Linked DNA regions of Mus musculus. The protein of the gene in region 1 interacts with the protein of each later gene in a pairwise test. Links are inferred from orthologs where the notes say so. Each region holds a gene or a part of one and is shown on either strand. Other genes may lie near its edges.

Evidence for each region.
Region 2: the proteins of Chd3 (region 1) and Serbp1 interact in binary tests that used the Homo sapiens proteins (3 or more experiments, as listed by UniProt). The link is inferred for Mus musculus from reciprocal best matches to the Homo sapiens genes CHD3 and SERBP1.
Region 3: the proteins of Chd3 (region 1) and Yae1d1 interact in a two-hybrid assay, tested with the Homo sapiens proteins (2 studies listed by BioGRID and IntAct). The link is inferred for Mus musculus from reciprocal best matches to the Homo sapiens genes CHD3 and YAE1.

What each region holds. Positions count from the first base shown.
Region 1 is NC_000077.6:69,348,824-69,352,471, reverse strand, and holds part of Chd3 (chromodomain-helicase-DNA-binding protein 3), read left to right. Parts: intron 1-306; coding exon 307-372; intron 373-1,302; coding exon 1,303-1,388; intron 1,389-1,546; coding exon 1,547-1,680; intron 1,681-1,810; exon of another isoform or gene 1,811-1,954; intron 1,955-2,220; coding exon 2,221-2,365; intron 2,366-2,519; coding exon 2,520-2,682; intron 2,683-3,179; coding exon 3,180-3,301; intron 3,302-3,415; coding exon 3,416-3,551; intron 3,552-3,648.
Region 2 is NC_000072.6:67,265,507-67,269,254, reverse strand, and holds the start of Serbp1 (plasminogen activator inhibitor 1 RNA-binding protein), read right to left. Parts: upstream 2,277-3,748; 5' UTR 2,159-2,276; coding exon 1,846-2,158; intron 1-1,845. UniProt on the Homo sapiens protein: Ribosome-binding protein that promotes ribosome hibernation, a process during which ribosomes are stabilized in an inactive state and preserved from proteasomal degradation.
Region 3 is NC_000079.6:17,990,811-17,994,558, forward strand, and holds the start of Yae1d1 (protein YAE1 homolog), read right to left. Parts: upstream 2,542-3,748; 5' UTR 2,497-2,541; coding exon 2,371-2,496; intron 940-2,370; coding exon 818-939; intron 1-817. UniProt on the Homo sapiens protein: The complex LTO1:YAE1 functions as a target specific adapter that probably recruits apo-ABCE1 to the cytosolic iron-sulfur protein assembly (CIA) complex machinery. May be required for biogenesis of the large ribosomal subunit and initiation of translation.

The DNA of each region.
Region 1 (3,648 bases):
GCTGGGTGATTGGGATGGATCAGGAGACTTTTCTAAGGTCAGATGGATTCATGGGGATTTAACCATCTAGGGACTACAGAGGGATCCATGAGCACTCAGGGCTCACTGTTTAGAGTAGCTATGGCAGGAGTCACAGTGGTAAAGTATGTGTACCAAAGGCTAAAGATGGCTCAGGATGTATGACCCAGAGTCTCCAGTAGGACCAAGGACAGGGAGGAGGTGGAGAAATGTCCAAGAGGAAGACGCCAAGTGGAGAGGGCCCAGTATGGTTACTGATTACCATCGAATCCTCTCTGCCCCTCACAGACAACCAGTCAGAGTACTCAGTGGGGTCCGAGGAAGAGGATGAAGACTTTGATGAGCGTCCTGAAGGTGGCGTCTTTCTTGACTTTCTGTCTCTATTCTCTCACTTCACTTTCTAGCTTTCTTTAAGCACACTATTTTTTTTAAAAGATTTATTTTTATTTTTACTGTGTATTTTTTTACCTGTATGTATATCTGTATACTACCTGTGTGCCTGATACCTGCAGAGGCTAAAAGAGGGTGTCAGATCCACCAAAACTGGAGCTACAGATGGTTGTGAGCCACTATATGGGCGCTGGAAATTGGACCCTGGGCTCTTAACTGCTGAGCCATCTCTCTAACCCCTGCGCCCCCTATTTTTATGCAATAAAAATACTTTGGTTTTGGGTGGGAACATGGGTAGCACACACTTTTAATATCAACACGGAAAGCAGGAGGACTGTGAGTGTGAGGTGTTCTCACTACACAGGCAGCCTGTGCCTAGAAAGGAAATAAAGCCCCTTGGGTAGGAAAATTGAAGCTCACACACAGGGAGAAAGCAAAGGCCATGATCTCTCCATTGTTGAATTTGGAGTGGATAGCCCAGCTACCAGGAAGGTCAGACAGGATCGCTCAAGTCCAGGGGTTGGCGTCTTGACCAACACAACCTCGCCTGATGGTATAAACACACACACACACACACACACACACACACACACACAGAGAGAGAGGCAGAGAGAGAGAGAGAGAGAGAGAGAGAGAGAGAGAGAAACAGGAAGATTAGGTTATCTCACTTTCTCATGAGTAACATTGTCTGTCAAGTATTTGTTATTAGTTTTTAAATATGGCTTCTCTTAGCCTTAGTAGGTAGTAGTACTGAGAACATGCTTGAAAGAAAATTAGAGGTGAACGTGACACAGGCTAGCCCTGTGTATTGTGTACTATGGGGATGGATATAAGGAAGATGAAGGGCTTAGAGGAGGGGGCGTCTCCACTAATCAGTGTCACCCTTACCCTTAGGCCGTCGACAGTCAAAGAGGCAGCTTCGAAATGAGAAGGACAAGCCACTGCCTCCATTGCTGGCTCGGGTTGGGGGCAACATTGAAGTGAGACTTTGGCCTGGGCACTTTGCATGATCTCTAGGGAGAAGATGGTGGAGAGGGTGGTGGTACATTGGGAACCGAGGCTGGGCCACCAGCAGTAGAGAGGGACTTCAGGCTCCTAGTCATTCGTGGCCCCGCCTCTCTCCCCCACCCCCCTTCAGGTACTGGGATTCAATACTCGACAACGGAAGGCCTTCCTTAACGCTGTGATGCGCTGGGGGATGCCACCCCAGGACGCGTTCACCACACAGTGGCTAGTGAGAGACCTGAGGGGCAAAACGGAGAAGGAGTTTAAGTGAGTGTGGGGGACTTGGGGGTGAATTGAATTGGGGCTCAGAGCTTTGGACCTTCCTTCCTTCCTCTCGGCTACCATGTGATGTGACCTTACTCAGCTGATCACCGCCTCCCTACCTTATGTCATTACCAGGCTCTATTTCCTGGGAGGTGGGCTTAGCCTACCCCACTTCCCCTCAGCAGAGCCTAGAGTAAAGGGGCCAGGCCTCCTCCCCTATGGGAGAGAGAGGTGTTTGAAGAAGGGGCCTCACCCGGGCCGGCCTGGCTTCACATTTACCTGGCCATGATAACCTGGCAGGAGGAGCTGGTGAACAGGATGAAATGCTGACTGATGGGGCCTTGGAGCAAAGAGCTGAGTCCCAGGAGGTGCAGTGGGGGCTGATGGGGCCAGTGAGCAAGTCAGGATGCGAGGGAGAGGCCCAGGGCTGGACTCTTGGAAGCACCTGGGAGTTGAAGCTCGGGGGTCAGTGAGCTCTGCATCTTGTGCATCTGAACTCCTCCTGAGTCCTTGCAACCCTCCTCTTACCCCTGTGCCTTTCAGGGCCTATGTGTCTTTGTTCATGCGCCATCTGTGTGAGCCTGGGGCAGATGGCTCCGAAACGTTTGCGGATGGGGTCCCTCGGGAGGGGCTGAGTCGCCAGCAGGTGTTGACCCGCATTGGAGTCATGTCTCTCGTCAAGAAGAAGGTATTGGTCCTTCCTCATTGGAGCATCAGGCCAACTGTTCAGTCACTCACTGTCTTTCCTCTCTGAGCCCTGGCCAGGCTGGTGTGAGAGAGGAAACTAGAGCTTCCTACATGGCCAGTGCCAGGAACTGATCCTGGTCCCTGAACTTCCCCAGGTCCAAGAGTTTGAGCATATCAATGGACGCTGGTCAATGCCAGAGCTGATGCCTGACCCCAGTGCTGAGTCCAAGCGCTCTTCCAGAGCCTCCTCTCCAACCAAAACATCTCCCACCACTCCTGAGGCTTCTACAACCAACAGTCCTTGTACCTCTAAGCCTGGTAATTGGGAGTCTGGATTGGGGTGGGAGAGGCAAGCAGTGGTGGCCAGATGTCAGGGTGGAAAAATCTCTGCTTTCCCCTCTTACTAGGCTGTTTGTGTGATTATAGTGAGATGCATGAAGTTGGACAGCTTTATAGAGGAAATGGGTTTATTTGGGTTCATGGTTTTAGAGGTTCCAGGTCAGCAGCTGCATCTGGGGGGTGACTTTCTTGCTTGCAGAGTCCTTGCTTGCATTGTCACATGGTGAAATGCAGAGAGCATGCATGTAGATCCTCCCCTCTCTCTTCTTAAGAGCCACCAGGCTTCAACTATGGGGTCTCGCCCCATGACCTTATCTAGCCCTGGTTATCTTCTTTAAGCCCCACCTGTGAGCACTGAGGTTGGATTCCGTTCCTGCCAGTTTATTACTTTACCCTGGGCGTTAAGTTTCAACATGTGACCCTTTAGAGAGTACTTAGGTCACAGCCAAACCATAGCACTGCGCCTTCACTCACAGCTACTCCAGCTCCAAGTGAGAAGGGAGATGGTGTGAGGACACCGCTGGACAAGGATGACACTGAGAACCAGGAAGAGAAGCCAGAGAAGAACAGCAAAGTGGGGGAAAAGATGGAGGCAGAGGTGTGTGCACACCTGGTTCTCTCTGAGGAGATGGAGTGGAAAGTCTGGAGGGATCTTGGCATCAGGGTGCCTAGGAACTCTCTAGCTCACCTTGACTCTTCTGTCCTCCACCAGGTCGATTCTCCCAGCCCAGCCCCATCACTGGGAGAACGGCTAGAACACAGGAAAATTCTCTTAGAGGATGAAGCACCAGGGGTACCTGGAGAGACAGAGCCTGAACCTGGATACAGAGGAGACAGGGAGAAGTCTGGTGGGTGTATTATACCACTGATGATGGGGATTTGAGTTTTGGGGTTCCCTCTTCTGCACTTGGGGTGAGAGTAACAGCCTCTCTTCATATCTTCTGA
Region 2 (3,748 bases), on another chromosome or scaffold:
TCCAGCATTGTGTTCCCGAGACACAGGACACACCATAGGTTAACAATTGTTTCCACTCTTACAGATAGGTACTTTGTTTACAAGTCTACCAACCACCACCACACAGCACTAACTGGAAGTTTTATTCAAAATTTCCCCATATGTATATATAACCTTATTTAAAATCAACTCTGGTTTTAAAGAGTGATCTAAGGGTTTGAGATGTGTAATGCAAAATTTTCCCCAGCAAGGACAAGGTTCTAAGTTCAATACCCAGTACAACCCATGGAAGACTTGGACGTAACTAAAAAAAAGGTTGACTACTATTGTGAAAAAGTTTTCTGAAGTAAATGACAAACGTAATCCTGGCTATAAATAAAAATGTCCTCCATTGATGACTTATGCTAGTTTACAGGCAAGATCATAAATTGGCTTTGTGATGAAAATTGAATAATTTAAAATCATGCTTCATGTTTTGACCATTTTTTGAGTTCATCTATGTGATGTGTTTTATTTACTCAACTTATTCATGTACTTCTGTGAATTACAGTCATAAAGGAGGTAAATTTTAGTAGTTTAAATAACACTATCTAGTGTCCCTAACACAGAAATTAAATGTCTTATTCAACTATGTAATGTCAAGAAGCTTAATCCGCTCAGTACTTCTGCCCAAGTGATGTTTTCTAACACTCCAGACTATGCTTCCAAATATATTAATAGAACTCTTCCCTTTTATAAATCTACTAGGAACTGGATGTTTTACTCTAAGCCTTCATTGAAAGACACCACCACCCCCAAAAAACTTCAAACCTAACACAATCTAATGAGAAACAATTCCTTTCATGAGCACGTGGCATTGAGAGGCACTTTAACATAATACCAATTTTAAAGATTCACAGGTTATTCTATATGTACTCGCTATTGATTTTTCACTTTTTTAGCCCCTAATTGCTTTGCCTTTTCATCCACAATAAGCCAGTAATGGAGAAGAATGCTAAAATCAAAACAACTATGAAACTTCTAGTGCCCTTGAAGAGACCATTAGCCGCCAATGAAGACCCGACCACGCTTTACGCACGTGCGGAGGAAAAGCTGCAGCCTGAGTTCTGCTGCCGGGACATGACAGGCTGGGCACTCATTTCGCCCACGAGGCCCAGAACAAGCAAAGCCCTATGACCTGGGGGCTCCAGGGAGTTAGTTGGAAGAAGAGATGGAGACATGAGATGGGTTCCACTAATGACCAGTTTTTTATTCGGAACTCCCTCTAAAATGAGTGGGGCTAAATTCTTCTCCTCTCCAACACTTTAGTTCTCGCCAGTAAGTTACAGGAACTTCTTCTAACGTAAGAGCGAAAGGGCACAACACAAAACACACACGTGGGACCCAAACAGCAACTCCTCCCTCCCTCCACTCTAACAGGGACCCCCAAACGGAGACGCAGCCCAAGTGGAAACTCTGAGCCCGGGCCTTTCCTTGAGGGTCCGCGCCATTGTGGGACAAGATGGCAGGGCAGGAGCCCACAGCAGGCAGCGGCAGCCAGGAGCCCGCCGGGCAGGAAGCAATGCCCGCGCTGCTTCCCGAGCGCCTAGAGCCAGGAGGCTAGCGCCCGGCAGGAATCGGCGGGAACGCCCGGGCCGCCCTCTCGGAGCACGCTCCGTCCGCCCGAGGCGGGAAGGAAGGCTCCCGCCGAGCCTGCGAGCGAGCAAGCGACCGAGAGAGCGGCGTGGACTTGGGACCAGCCACGTTCCCCGCACCGTGAAGGGGCTCCGAGGGCTCTGCGGCCCCGCCGCCTGCACGAGCAAGCGGCGGCGCACGCCCCCGTCCTGCCCGCCAGCCCGGGCTCCCCACCGCCTCGCCCGGCTTTACCTTCTTTCTTAAGCGCCACCGGCGGCTGCGTCTCCTCCTTTTTGTCGGCCACGCCGACGCTGGGGGGCAGCGGGTTCTTGCGGTCTTTCTGGGACTCTTTACGCAACTGTTTGCCCGCCGCGTTGGAGTTGGTCTGGGCCGCGGCCTGAGCCGCGCTCTTGGCCCCGGGGCCCCCAACGCCGCCCCCGCCGGCTTCTTTTTTCTTGTTCTCTGCTGCCTTCAGTACCTCGAAAGGGTCCGATTCGTCGTCAAATAGCTGGTCGAATCGGTTGGTGACCACGCAGCCGAAGCCTTCCTGTAGGTGCCCAGGCATGATGGTGGCTCGGCGGCGCGTTCCTCCACGGATTGCAGCGGACCGCGCCGAGCCAAAAGCGCCTGCTTCAGCTCTTCCCACAAGATGGCCGGGCCGAGAGAGGGGGGCCGCCTTCTCTTCCGGCGCCAAGCACACATCCGGGAGCGGCCTGCGCCGCACGGCACCATGGGGCCTGTAGGCCACAACTGATTAGCCCGGGATGGCTGTCTACTCCTGAACTTCAACTCCCAGCGTGCACTGCGCAGCAACTCTTCGCGCGCGCCTGAGAGGCGGGATCTCAAGGAAAGTGTGCAGCGTGCTCGCTGAAGGTGGGGAAGCGAGTACGGGGCGGAGTTCTGCCACCTGCTCTTGTCACCCTTAAACTCTCGGTCTTTAGATACCTCTGAGAACAGGAAAACGTGAGGGCGTCTTCTGCTCACGAAAGTGTTCTCTGTCTTTGGTTTCACTCATTCTGTCTCCGGCCAGGACTTTCCCCACCTTTCTGGGAGGGTCAAGGTGACTCCCAGACCTAGTAACTGGAGCCTCAAAAACTTCCGGGGGGTGGGGGGTGCCACAGTAGCCTCCGGTAGGTTGCGACCGCACGGCTGCTCGTCCCTGACTGTTGGATTTCTAGAGCTGTCCCTCCACCCTTCGTAACGAATCAAGGCAATTCGGTTTAATGTGGAACGGAGTTCCAGGGTTGAATCTGCGTGGCAGAAGGAATCCAAAAGAGGAGTTGAACTAATTGGGTTGCGCGCCTTTTCCGGTCATTGCAACCATGCTTTAAGAGCTGTTAAGTCCTGACTGCACAACTGCACGCTCGGCCATCCTCTAAAACAGTGTTTGTGGAAACGCTTTCTAGAATCAACGCGATAAATTGATCTGTCGGTATCTGGTCAGCGGTGTTAGTAAAATGTGCTCCAGAGCCTGGGGTGGTGGCGCATGCCTTTAATCTGAACACTTAGGAGGCAGAGTTCAAGGCTAACCAGGTCTACAGAGCAAGTTCCAGGACCGCAGGGATTTCATAAGAAAAAACCCTGTCTCCAGCTCCCCAAATGTGCTCAAGAGGAAATGTTTTATAGTACATTGGGTATTATGTGTGAAGGGAGGAAACTAATTTCGTAATTATATGCTAACTCTGACATTAGTTGGGAACCTTAAATCCCACTAAGACAATCCAGTGCCAATACACACTATAATTTTAAATCTTTTCCATTGATACATTATGTAATAGAAAACATACCTCAGGCAGCAGGTGCTACGAATGTTTCATCCTCACATCCTTTTAGATAAATAACTATCCCTTTCTCACAGGGATGAAACTGTCAGAATTGATAAAACTTACTAAGGTCACACTTAAGTGCTAGTGGCAATCTTCTAGCTGCACTATGAGACTGTTGACATCAATTCTGTAAACCAAGTTCTGTCCTGATAGAAATTACAACAAGTGCTGAAATTCCAATAACTAATCAAGTTTAAACAACCCTTTGAATCCGTCTCCTGGATCAACAGAATGAAAGGCAAAATGGGATTCCCATAGTAGTTTTCTGATCTCTACACTCATACTGTGGTACATTCACACTCAAACACACATAAATAAATAACAGATAA
Region 3 (3,748 bases), on another chromosome or scaffold:
CCTCCTCTTCTCAATTATATAGTCTCCTTAATTTTCTAAAAGTCTCAACAAAATTTAAAACAATTTTTTTCTTTTTCTTTAAATGTGATTCTTTGCAGCAGTTTGTTTCTCTATAAGGACAGTCTAAAAACTATCCCCATCAAAGAGGCTGGCCCAACTCTTTGTCACCATTGGACCTGACTTTGTGGCTCTATTTTCTGCCATTATTGCTATGGTATCCTACAGGTATTTAAAGTTCAGGGCTCAAACAAGCAAGACCTCTTTCTCTCAGTAATTACGGTTTTCCCCCGTGGACTTCCAGCTGAAAGACCCACCATCTGTCCTCTATCACGTGTGCAGGTAAAACAGCGTTCTTTATTAGCAGAAAACCCCTCCTGAGTGATCAGTGCTCTGCCAAATGGCAACAAGAGAAAAGCAGCTGGGACACCTAGTGAAATGGAGGAATTAACCAACAACTCCTAGAAAACCTTCTGAAAGCAGTACTTTACATTCTGAAGAGCCATGCACCCAACAGCACGAAAAACACTTTTTTCTTTAAAAAAAGATTTATTTATTATATGTAAGTACACTGTAGCTGTCTTCAGACACTCCAGAAGAGGGAGTCAGATCTTGTTAGAGATGGTTGTGAGCCACTATGTGGTTGCTGGGATTTGAACTTCAGACCTTCGGAAGAGCAGTCGGGTGCTCTTACCCACTGAGCCATTTCACCAGCCCCCGAAAAACACTTTTAAACACTGAATTTTTACATATTACCTCTATTAAAGACCTTCATTAGAATTGTGGCTAAATGATTCATCATTTAAAATTTTAAAATTACCTCAGTGTTCCTCTAAGGAGTCCATAGTTTATAATGACGTCTGCACCCTCTTTGTACCCTTGATTGAAGCCCCGTTGAAGAGTAAGTGCTTTGCCGGCATCTAGCCCATCTCTGTAACCCTCCTAAAAAGAAGAAAAAACCCAGTTGTAACTGACACCAAGTGAGTCTTCTCAGGAAAAGCACTGAACCAATTTTGAAGACAAATTTAGGTTTGTACTATATTAACTGAATTATGATATGGCAGAGACATAAATCCAAAGCAGAATGTTTCTCCTAAAATCTTATTATTGGTTCATCTTTCCTTGTCAGATCTGTCTTATTTTTTTAAAATGTTTTCCAGGCTGGCCTGGAGCTCCTTATCCTACCTTCCTCACTCTCCTAATCGATGACAGGCAGATGCCTCGATGCCACACGGGGAAGTCACTTTGGAAATCTAGGGTTACTGTGCAAACATTAAATATCAGTTGTTATGTTTTTTTTAAAAACTGTGTTAGCAAGGTCTTCACAGAAATGGGAAACTACATGTCTGGTCTCTTGGTAACGGACTAGAATAGGATAGATAAGGAGGCTGGCAAGGCCTGGGAAGAGGGAACTATTTTAGGAACAGTGAAGAGGAAGTCTGATTTTAGAAATCTAATCTAAACTGTGGCATAGAGATTTGTCTTATTATTATTATTAGTTTAGCCCTGGATTCCTATGGTATTTTTGTAATGATATGATGGTTGCTGGGCTCAACAAATATGAACTTACTGGAACATTAAATTAGGGTTGACATAACTGCAGCTTTAAGAGGGTAATTTAATGGCTAGTATATTGGGTGGATGCAGTTCTTATCTTTTAAACAGTTAAGTAACATATATTTACTTATTTTTCTTGAGGGAGGCATTTATTTACTTCCTTGAGCGTGAAGGTCAGAAAATAACTTCCAGAAACCCATTCTGTCCTTCCACAAAGTACGTTCCAGGGATCGAACGCAGGTCTTTATACTCTGGAATCCACCCCCATGTGGAGACAGATCTTAGCAAGTAGTTCTCACCCAGAAAAAGCGCCGATTCTACCCAAATAGTACTAAGCAAGTTTCAATGAATGGCAAGACAGGTCCGGATTGAATAACGCATTTAAAGTAAAGCTGGAACAGTATTCCCTTCTCTACCTCCCCCTTACCTTCCCTTGACAACATTCTCAGTTCACCCTTCTCCAAGCCTTGATAACATCACGCCTAACTTTGGACTCTCTGTGACTGCGTTCTCTGCGGGCCATCAGCCTAGTGGGTGTGCATTTCTCCTCCTCTGCTCCCCCGACCCCAAACTGCACACTCTTGAGGGACTGAATAAAGTTCACGTTGTAGAGTAGGGTCAATGTCCCTGCTCCAAACCCGGTGGGGCTCCGAAAGAGCACCAAGAAACAACCAGGATTCTTAAGACCCGGCAACACTGGAGCGCGCTGGCTCGGAGACCCGCGCTCCTCCGCCCAGGCTTCTGCGTGCGTGCCCCTGCCAGGGAGCCCCCGGGTCCCGCCTGGGAGTCCCTTTCTCCCGCGTCCCGTCCATTTACTTGGACTCGTTTCCGCATGTGACCCTGCCATTCCCGCTGCGCTAACAGAGACTCGTCCGCTTCCTCGTCAAACACGTCCTGGTCTCCAGGGCTCGCGTTCTCCGGAGCCGCTCGAAACCAAGACATCGCCCGGAACACCACGAGTCCCGGAGCCGCCGGAAACCCGGGCAAGTGCTTCCGGTTCGGGGGGCGGGACGAAAGGACAAGGCGTGGGACGGAGGGGCGTGTGCGGCTCCCCTTGCGGCTTGGAGGCTAAGGGTTGGGTCTCTTCCTACGCCTCTGGGATGGGCAGCGTGGGGCTAGCTGGGTGCTGCAAGCTAAGTCCCACCATTCAAGGGCTGAGATTCAGTTTCTGCAAGTGCTGAAGGCATTGGACGCCCACGTGCAGCCAAGAACTTTAGAATGTGAAAGCTGATTCTAGGATCGGTTTGAGATTAAGTAATGGGAACACTTTTGTAAAACCAGCGTCCATTGGCAATTTCCCTCTTAGCCTTTGACTAGGAGAGTTAAGGAATGTGGCTCAAGCATTTAGCAACTTCTGGCTGGGAGTTCATGTTGAAGAACTGCACATCAGTAGCGTTCTTGTTTTGTCATGTGATAACTGAATTTTTCTGACAATTTGTTTTGAATACCTATTTCGCATCACTCATCATTTTGGGACAGCGCACTATAGGAATAAAAGTTCTCAGTCCCAATGGACTTCCTATTAGTGTAGAAACGGCCAGTTAGCCAACAATACTTATAAGTAACTCATAGTTTGAAGACTGTAAGTGATATGAAAAAAGTAATCATTGTGAGGGAAGAGGAAACAGGTTACTGTTTTAGTTTATTTTACATTTTTGTCCTGAAGGCAAAAGTTTTGCCAATAAGGAATATATGCTCTGTCAATAAGTTATCCCCTACACAAAGTTATTACTTTTTATCTTCAGAGAGAATTTTGTATCCTATAAATGTATGTATAAAACCAAATATAAAATGTGATAAGGTGTATGTATATAGAGATCTTAATTAGAAGCAAAATGGCAGTATAGGAAGCCATAGAAATAGTGATTGAAATGAGTAAGATAGAAAACTTCTGTGAGTTGGCTCAGTGGGTAAAGTCCCAGGAACGGTGTCAATCACCAGGACCCACGTGATGGAAGGAGAGATTAAACTCCTACAAATTGTCCTCTGACCTACACACACACACACACACACACACACACACCATATGAAAACAAATGCAATAAAAAAAATCCAACTCAACCCTTGCATGATAAACCCTAAAGGACAGGGTCTGAAGAGATGGCTCAGCAATTACAAACACTTGCTGCTCTTCTGGGGGATGTTAACTTGGTTCTGGGCATCTACATACAATTGGGTGATGGCTCACAACCAC